Linked DNA regions of Oryzias latipes. The protein of the gene in region 1 purifies or fractionates together with the protein of each later gene. This does not show direct contact. Links are inferred from orthologs where the notes say so. Each region holds a gene or a part of one and is shown in the gene's direction. Other genes may lie near its edges.

The links.
Region 2: the proteins of tumor necrosis factor receptor superfamily member 10B (region 1) and cflar purify together in Homo sapiens (affinity purification with western blotting; 5 studies listed by BioGRID and IntAct, with this or other methods). This does not show direct contact. The link is inferred for Oryzias latipes from reciprocal best matches to the Homo sapiens genes TNFRSF10A and CFLAR.

The regions. Positions count from the first base shown.
Region 1 is NC_019870.2:4,560,488-4,564,305, reverse strand, and holds part of tumor necrosis factor receptor superfamily member 10B, read left to right. Parts: intron 1-584; coding exon 585-750; intron 751-2,054; coding exon 2,055-2,186; intron 2,187-3,818. UniProt on the Homo sapiens protein: Receptor for the cytotoxic ligand TNFSF10/TRAIL. The adapter molecule FADD recruits caspase-8 to the activated receptor.
Region 2 is NC_019879.2:19,821,547-19,825,954, reverse strand, and holds the start of cflar (CASP8 and FADD-like apoptosis regulator), read left to right. Parts: upstream 1-1,431; 5' UTR 1,432-1,693; coding exon 1,694-1,995; intron 1,996-2,079; coding exon 2,080-2,182; intron 2,183-2,316; coding exon 2,317-2,452; intron 2,453-3,353; coding exon 3,354-3,403; intron 3,404-3,490; coding exon 3,491-3,521; intron 3,522-3,728; coding exon 3,729-3,775; intron 3,776-3,870; coding exon 3,871-3,949; intron 3,950-4,408. UniProt on the Homo sapiens protein: Apoptosis regulator protein which may function as a crucial link between cell survival and cell death pathways in mammalian cells. Acts as an inhibitor of TNFRSF6 mediated apoptosis.

The DNA.
Region 1 (3,818 bases):
CCTTGTGGGGAGGGGTGGGGGGTTGTTGATGCTCAGGAGAAGACAAAACCTCCCGATCTGTGACTCCGATTTACCCAGGGAGGTGTCACGTTGCGCTTCAGGTGCCTCGCCGTGGTGTCGCATGTCCCGGCATTCAAAGAGCCGGGCTTTAAGAATGTGGGTCATTTGAAGAAGGGGCAGTAAAGTGCGTTGTTTGCCAGTGAATGGAGCCTTCTCACGTTGACACGGTGAAAAGCGTGTGAACAAACACCAGGGCCTGGGGGGGGGGGACACGCTAAAGTGTTTGCCGTATTCTTCCCCGTACCCCACCTATACAAGCCTGTTATTATCCAGCGCATGAAAGGGGTCGCATTCGATACGGGCACCGGCTGCTGTCGGCCTGTTGCATGGTGGGAGACCTGCCTGGAGATGCGACCAGCTGCACGGCCCTCCTGAAGCAGATGTGCAGATCAGATGCTGCAGATTAAGACGTTTATTCGTCACACGAGGCCTCTAATGAAGACGTCTTTACTCGGCGGCGACGCCTGCTGCAAGGACCAAAAAGCCCAGCTCGCTTTAACCTCCTTTTTTCCTCCTCCACGCAGGTGGTGGCGCTCTTCGCGGGGCTCGTCTGCCACGCAGCAGAGCCCCCGGCATCTCAGCGGTCCGCCGGCGTCCACAGAAACGCCACTCTTCGGCAGCATCAGGCGCAGTGTGTGGAGAACCAGCAGTACCCCCACCAGGGGCTGTGCTGCCTCAACTGCCAGGCCGGTGAGGAATCCCCCGCCGCCCTGAAACGCTCCCCTCCTCCTCCTCCAACCAGAACATCACAGGTTTTCCATGAATAAAAGTCAGGAGATTTCTTCCCGGCTCATAATTGAGTCAAATTAATTCCATTTATTTTTTTTGCTGGACGTGAAATTGATGTGGTCACGGTCTTTTGCGCCGTTAATCATCCATACAGTGTTTCTACAAACCAAAAGAGCTCAAACCTTCAACTTTTAAACACACTTTTGTGTTTTTGAAGCCCTCACACCGTCTCAAAGCATCACCTTTAGTTTTTTTTTTTTTTGCCCCATTGTTGGACTAATTCAGATAATTACACTTTGAGATTAAGCAATTCCATCTGAAATTTCACCTTAAAGCCTGTTCCAGAACGCCTGCTGGCAGCATTCATTTGAGGGTTGAGATGCAGATGATTTGTTTTTTTATTTTTCATGATTTTACTCTGCAGAAATGTAGGAAAATATTAGCGCCTTTATGTGGGTGTAAAACACACCAAGATCTTTAAAGAAGGAAAAAAAAAGTAAAAATCTAAAGTTGTTATGACCAAACTCCTACAGACAAGTTGGAAAAACATAATTTTTTTGACTTGGAAAGTATTTTATTGTTACTTAAGTAACTTAATTTGGAGTTAAATTCAAAAAATTATGTTTTTAGGTTTGAGACAACAGATTTTTAAGCTGCCAATTTTCTTTTTATTAAATGAAATCCAATTTTCATATTAGATTTGTGTTCACTTTTGAGAATCTTTCCAAACTTGAGGATTAAAATGTCGTTTTTGATCTCAAAGTTGTTCTTTTTGTTTTGTAACGTCACCGAATGCTTGTTGGGTTTTCAACCGTCATGTCATAAACGGAACCAAGCTGCCCCCCCCCCCCCCCAAACCAGCTGGTCCAAATTACTTCGTTTTATTTCCCCACAAGCTTTTATGTTATGTGTGCAGCGTTCAGAAAAGAAAATGGTGGAAACACATGAGACTCAAGTGGTTTTATTCATGGCATGCATGAACTGATGGCAGAGATAAGCATGACAATCGGCTAGTGAAGTGGGTCGCTGCTGAGGGTTTTCTTGTAATCCCAGAGAAACGAAGACTTCCTGGAGGAGAAAAAGAAAATCTTTAAAGTTGAGTCGCGAACAAATCAAAGGAATGCTTAAGCAGCAAGCGGCTGCAGTTCCTGTCGGCGTGGACTCTGATACCGGAAGTGCTTCACACCAAAGAAATGAGTCTTTTTCACTGATCCACTCCAGGGTTTTTTTTCATTTGTGTGTTGTTGTTTTTTTTGCATTTGCAGGAACATTTGTGAAGAAGCCCTGTGAAAGAGACCAGCAGCAGGGGATCTGTGAGCCCTGCGAGCACGGCCAGACGCACACCGAGCACTCCAACGGGATGGGCCGCTGTCTGCCGTGCAACCACTGTCGCCAAGGTAACAGGCCTCCCTGCCTGCATCGTGACCGGCTGGATGGACGGTCATGTGAAACTCTGATTGCGTCTTTGACGGGCTCTTCCTCCTCTGTGGCAATTTATGTTAAAGTTGCAAATGAGTCCACCTCTTTATTTTGAAAATCACCTGGGCTTCCTGCCGTTTTCTGACACTTCCACAGTTTTTAAATGGTATTTGATGTGAACTCTTCTGTTTAATACCACTTAAAGACAGGCTCAAAGTCAATCTAATTTTTTATTATTTATTCAATCTCTTCTCTTTTCAGTTCCACAACACAAAATATTAAAAATAAAACTAATTAGAACTCCTTTTTTATATTCCAAGTACAGCCCTTTACAGGGCTTTACTGAGAGACAAAGGCTTTATCACCATTTAGGCAAGATAAATAAAAAAGAAATCTAAAAATAGAAAGGCAGCTTTCAAACCAAACTGCTTTTAAAATCAGGTTATTGGCTTCAGGAAACAAATAAAACCAAGAAAGTTCACTTTGAACAAATTTCTTTCCGTCTGTCAGAGTAAATTCAGTTTGAAACCACAGGTTTTTACTGTGCTTTAATTTTTCTGATTCTGCCTAATTTGTCCAAGTCGTCTTTCTTTTGGTCAACTATTTATTCCAAAAACATTTTTTTTTCTATGTTTGGAATTTAAAACGAGCAACGTTTAAAAAATGTAATAGTACAATGAGAAAGTTTTGCTTTAAAAACTGTTTTTCTAAACAAGCAAGTGGTCACTTCATGGATTTGGTGAATTAAAAATCACATTTTTTTCCATCGAAAAGATGGAACGGTGGAAGCAGAATGTTAAAAAGCCCGAAACTAACCTCCCAAACCTTTAGATTCAAAAAAATCAGATAACCAGAGAGCAGAAAATCACTGAGTCGGTCACAGATAGATTGTCTTAGGGAAGCTGATCCCCCTTTGTGTGTTCCCCCCGCTGAAATGGTGATCTTGTGATGTTCCGGAGCGGCAGGGCGTGTCTTTGTTGTTTTTGTTCGGCGGCTGAATGCGAGCGCCTTACCTGTCCGGGAGGGTTTGCCGGTGAGTGGGCCATGCCTGCCTGAACTGGGTGTGTCTGCACGTCATTGTCCTCCCACACTGACTGTCTTTGTGTCCAATGAAAGGCAGCAGCCACAGAAAAGAGACTCCTGTTACATAGGACGGGTTTTGTCCTCTTTTACTCCTCTTTAAAGATAGACCCAGTTTAATCGCCCGTCTGACAAAAGCAAACGTGGATTTTCAGTGAAAGGATAGCAGCTGTTTGTTTCTCCATGTTTAAAGTGATCCAAACAGGAAGTTAAAAAAAAGCTAATCGGTCAAATAAAATCCTAAACTCCTGATTTTAGTCTGACTTCCTGACTCCTGAAGATCTCTCCCCTCGTCCAATCAGACCTCCGTGTTTGCCGCTCAGCCGGCATGAAGGGGAGCGATGGGCTTTGGCGTTGGCACAACCAAAGCGAACACTCTGCCCTGATCACATTAACTGGACGGCAAACAAATGTGATGAAGTGCAGCTGACTGAAATCAGCCAACAACCACATGTTTTAGGTTTGCCCTGTTTAGCTGCAAACTCGTCTTTTCTGTGGAAAAATGTCCTAAAACAACCCGTTTTAGATTC
Region 2 (4,408 bases), on another chromosome or scaffold:
CTTGAGTCAAGCATCAAGCGAAAAACGTATATATACTTCAATTCCTTGAAGTGTAACATATTTGTGACTTCCGATCAATATTTCAAAATAAAACAATTTTCATTTATTAATAGCAGAAACGTTATGAGGAGTTCGACTGGAAGTCACTCCGTACAGATACATGATGTATCTCGTAATACAAACAATAAACTAAGATATTTACATTTCACTGGGAAAACGAGGAACCTCGTTGTCCTGAGCTTCAAAAGCTAACCAGTTTTCCGAAATGAAAGCTGTTGTTAGCCAGTTGATTAAGGCTAGCTAACGTTTTTTCATATTTGCCACGACGGCTCTAACCTGTGCACCGAGCTTAGCGTCACCACGTTAGCAGAGCTTGCAGCCGCTAACATGCCTCTTCTTGTAAGCAGCTGGCGGGCATCTTCGTCTTTTTCTTTTTCTTTTTTTAACAGTCGTGACCAGGCCAAACCCACTTTTAAAAAGCCAGGCAACATCAATGGGACATGGTGGTCTCCGGTTAAATGTATGCTCCACTTGGCGACACTGATATTGATAGCCCTCTAGTTTTGCACATAGACACCAACACAAGTTACAACCTGTACTGATAATATTCCAAGTCAGTCCCAACCTTAAAGTCACAAAATGAATTTCTCTCAGCCACGAAAATGATACTCACTTTATCAACGGATACATGTGGGACAGTAACCGAAACGTCTGTACATGAACTAAGCGGGGTCACTATTTTCCCTGGGTGGTCACTCGGCTTTCGAAGGTGTCTTTCAGCCCTACCGTTTGCTGTGAACCGCACAGGTTTAAGTCATCTCCCAACACTGCAAGGATGCCGAACCAGGGCGCAACGCGATTGGCTGGGCTTGGCGGACATGGTTGCTGATGCGTTCAAAACAATTGGAAAACACACAGTCGTTGGTTTGGTACATCGTGTGACTAAAATCATCTTCGTGCTAAGGTAGAAATCATTAAGGCAAATATAAAAAATAAAATTGAACTTGGTTTATGTAAAATCATCCGACAAATCTATATCCAAATAATATATATATGTAAAATCTATGGATCAAATAAAATAATACAAATAACAGGATTTTGCTCCATGAAGTACATCAAATATGCACTTGCATAGCAAAAACCATGTTGCTTATTTGATTGTTCTTAATAATTATGTAAGAAAAATGCTAATATATGTCTTATTTGCTTTTAACATTAACTTAATTTGTGACATATACGTGTGACATTTTTCTGAAATAATATAGATATTTATAAGATAATTGTGTTGGTTTTGAAGATGAAAAAATAAAGACCATTATTTCTATAGCTTTAAAAAAATCTTCTTCTTTTTTTTAAGTTTCAGTTTCAATTTCGTCACGACGGTACTTTCCGGACTGGGGGTTACTTCTTAAAAGCTCGTAACAAGCCTACGTTTATATGTAGGCTCTATGAGACTCCGTCTGTTTCTTTTCTACTTAATGTTTTTACAGCTGAAGGCTACTTTTATTTTTACGTTAAACCAGGGGACTTCCGGTTATCGCGTTTGGATGTTTATGGACTTTGAGCTGATAGGAATTATCATAAACGACCGTGGTTTGATCTAGCCCCGTTAAATTAGTCAGTCTACAGTTTAGATACATTTTTTTAAATACTCTATTATTCTGTTTTCCGTCACCAGGCTGCTTCCGTACCGATGGCTGCTTTGGATCATCAACGTAATCATCTTTACTACATCAACAAAATAGTTGAGGCGCTGAGTAGTAGTGAATGCAGAAAGTTGCTTTTCCTGTGTGACAGCACGAGCGCAGACAGTAGTGTACAGTCCGTGAGGGAGACTCTAAAACTCCAAGTTACTTGCCACGACAATGCCAGCCAGTTCCTAGCAGAGGTCATTTGGCGCATGGGCAGATATGACATTTTGAAGGAGCTCTTTACTCTGAGCAGGAATGCAGTAGAACAGACTCTGGAAAACAGACAAGTTCTCTCAAAATTCAGGTAAAACCTTTAGTGTCTTGTTTTATGCATGCCTGCTTGTTTGTTAGGTAATTCTTTATTTTATTTTTTTGTTTGTTTTTGCAGAGTACTGATGGCCAACATAAGTGAAGATCTAGACACAGAAGACTTAGAACAGATATTGTTCTTATTAAGCACAACATTGCCACGTGAGAAAAGGGATGCAAAGGTAGAGAAGACGGATTTCCACTAGGTCAATAGACGTGAATGGAAAGTGTGAGTGCGTGTGTGGAAAACCTTTGTCATTATGCACTTTCACTCTGAAAAAGCTGTTGTTTTTCCCCCATTACTTTCCCACTGCAGAGTTTCTTGGACGTGATCGTTGAACTTGAGAAACTTGATTTAGTTTCCCCAGAGAGAGTGGACATGGTTGAGGAGTGCTTGAGGAACATTTGCAGGATCGACCTTGCCAAAAAAGTATCCACATATAAAAAGACAGGTACGGTATGCATTGTTATAGAAAAATTACTTGTGCTTAGTTTGAAATAGGAAGTTTGGGCTATGGGGAGAATGACTGATGGGAAACTAGGAAGTGGGAGAGTAAGAGGAAGTGTAAGAGGGAGGGTATTTAAAGACCCAATCTGAACATCTTTTAATTTATTTCATAAGCATTTCCAAGTGCTCTTTATTTAGTATTATGCAGTTTTTAGGCAAAATCAAAAAAAATCCATAATTTCTGCAGAGCGACAGGCATTTATTAGAAAACTCACCTCTGAGTGTGGGCGGGACGTTGGTGTGAAGTAAGCCCACCCTCCATACCCATCATCCATGTGTTACACTCTCACCCTCTAGCTCACATCCCCCAACACCCCCAACTTCACAATACCGGTGCAGCAAAAATGGCAAGCAATATTGGAGCTATCCAGCCGTACAGTTTTGAGTCAAACGTCAGCTCGGATGGAAAACAAAGACGTACATGGATCTATTTGTAGATGCATCCGAATTGCTGGGAGTATGGAGCTTGTGGCTTGCTGTAGTGGGTTTTACGTCAGAGCTACAAGCTTTTACCAACGGCATTTTTTCATCTGCTCCTGATTCACAATGATTTGAACAAAGAAATACTCAGCAACTCAACTTTCTTTAAATATGTCCTCCATCATGAGGACAATTTTCATTGTAGTAGGTCTATGAGAACCGGTAAATGAGCCGCGCTCTGTTTTTAAAACATCTAATTAATCAGTATTGACTATATTTATATATTAACAATGAGTCAAATACTTTTATACAAAGTTTTTTTTGATTGTTTTTGTTATAAACTAACAATAATTACTGATTTCACCTAAAAAAGAAACAATTTTCTTTAATTCTTTGTTACCAATGTTTGTTTATGCAATTTTCAGCTCAGAGATGTGACCATCATTCACCTCATCAGCAAAGTAGTAAAACCTCTGTAAGTAACACAACATTTCTTCAACATTTGTACTCTCATAATTGAATACTTTTGATAAAACATTTTCTTTTGTTGTGCCCTATTTAGGAAAGAAGGCAAGGAAAGGCCATAAACATAGGTGAGACACATGACAGCTAAATAATGTGTTTATGACAGAGATGTTGTTAGAACAACAAAATAGTCAAAGTCAAAACATGGACAGTGTCTAATTACAGTATTTTAGTGGGGCTTTTCAGTTACAACATTACAGTTGGAAAGCCCCAGAGTAAATGTAGGGTATTTGGGTTTGTATGCCCTTAATTATCATGTCACTCTCTCACAACAGTCAGAGAAAGCCCACCAACATCTGAATGCAGACAACCAAGCACTACGGTAAATTTCCACTCTAGTATTACCCTTTCTTGATCATTTCAACATGTTAAAACCACATAAAATGGTAATTTGTCAAATATTTGTTCACATTTCAGAGTCAGCTTGAGCAATACAGCTTGAACAGCAAGCCGAGAGGACTGTGTGTGATCATAGACTGTGTGGGTTTTGATCAAGGTGAGACACAAATACTTATGAGCATTAAAAAAAAGTTCTCTACACAAAAAGCAAGAATTGGAATGGTGCGTCTGTTTCCCAGTAGACATGTAACGGTTATTCTAAAAAGGTTGAATTTGTGGTTTCACTGAACAAACTTAAAAATTCCAGTTCAGTAAAAAAAGGAAATGAAAGAAAAATGTGTAGTTCCAGACAACATGAAACGCGAAAACAGCTGTCTTCAGGTTGGCTTCCTTCAAACGCCACTTTTTTTTTAAAAGTTATCTATATTAAATGGGAATTAGTCTTGGTAAGTTATTTTAGAGAAAACTACACATGCAAAAATTTTAGAAAATTGTTAGAATTCAAGTTAAAAAGCAAATAAAAACAAAATTACTGGCTTTTTACATCCAAATAGAGGTTTATTTGTTAAAAAATAAAAAAAGGTTCATAAAGCCATAAAGGTCTAGCCATGAGTAC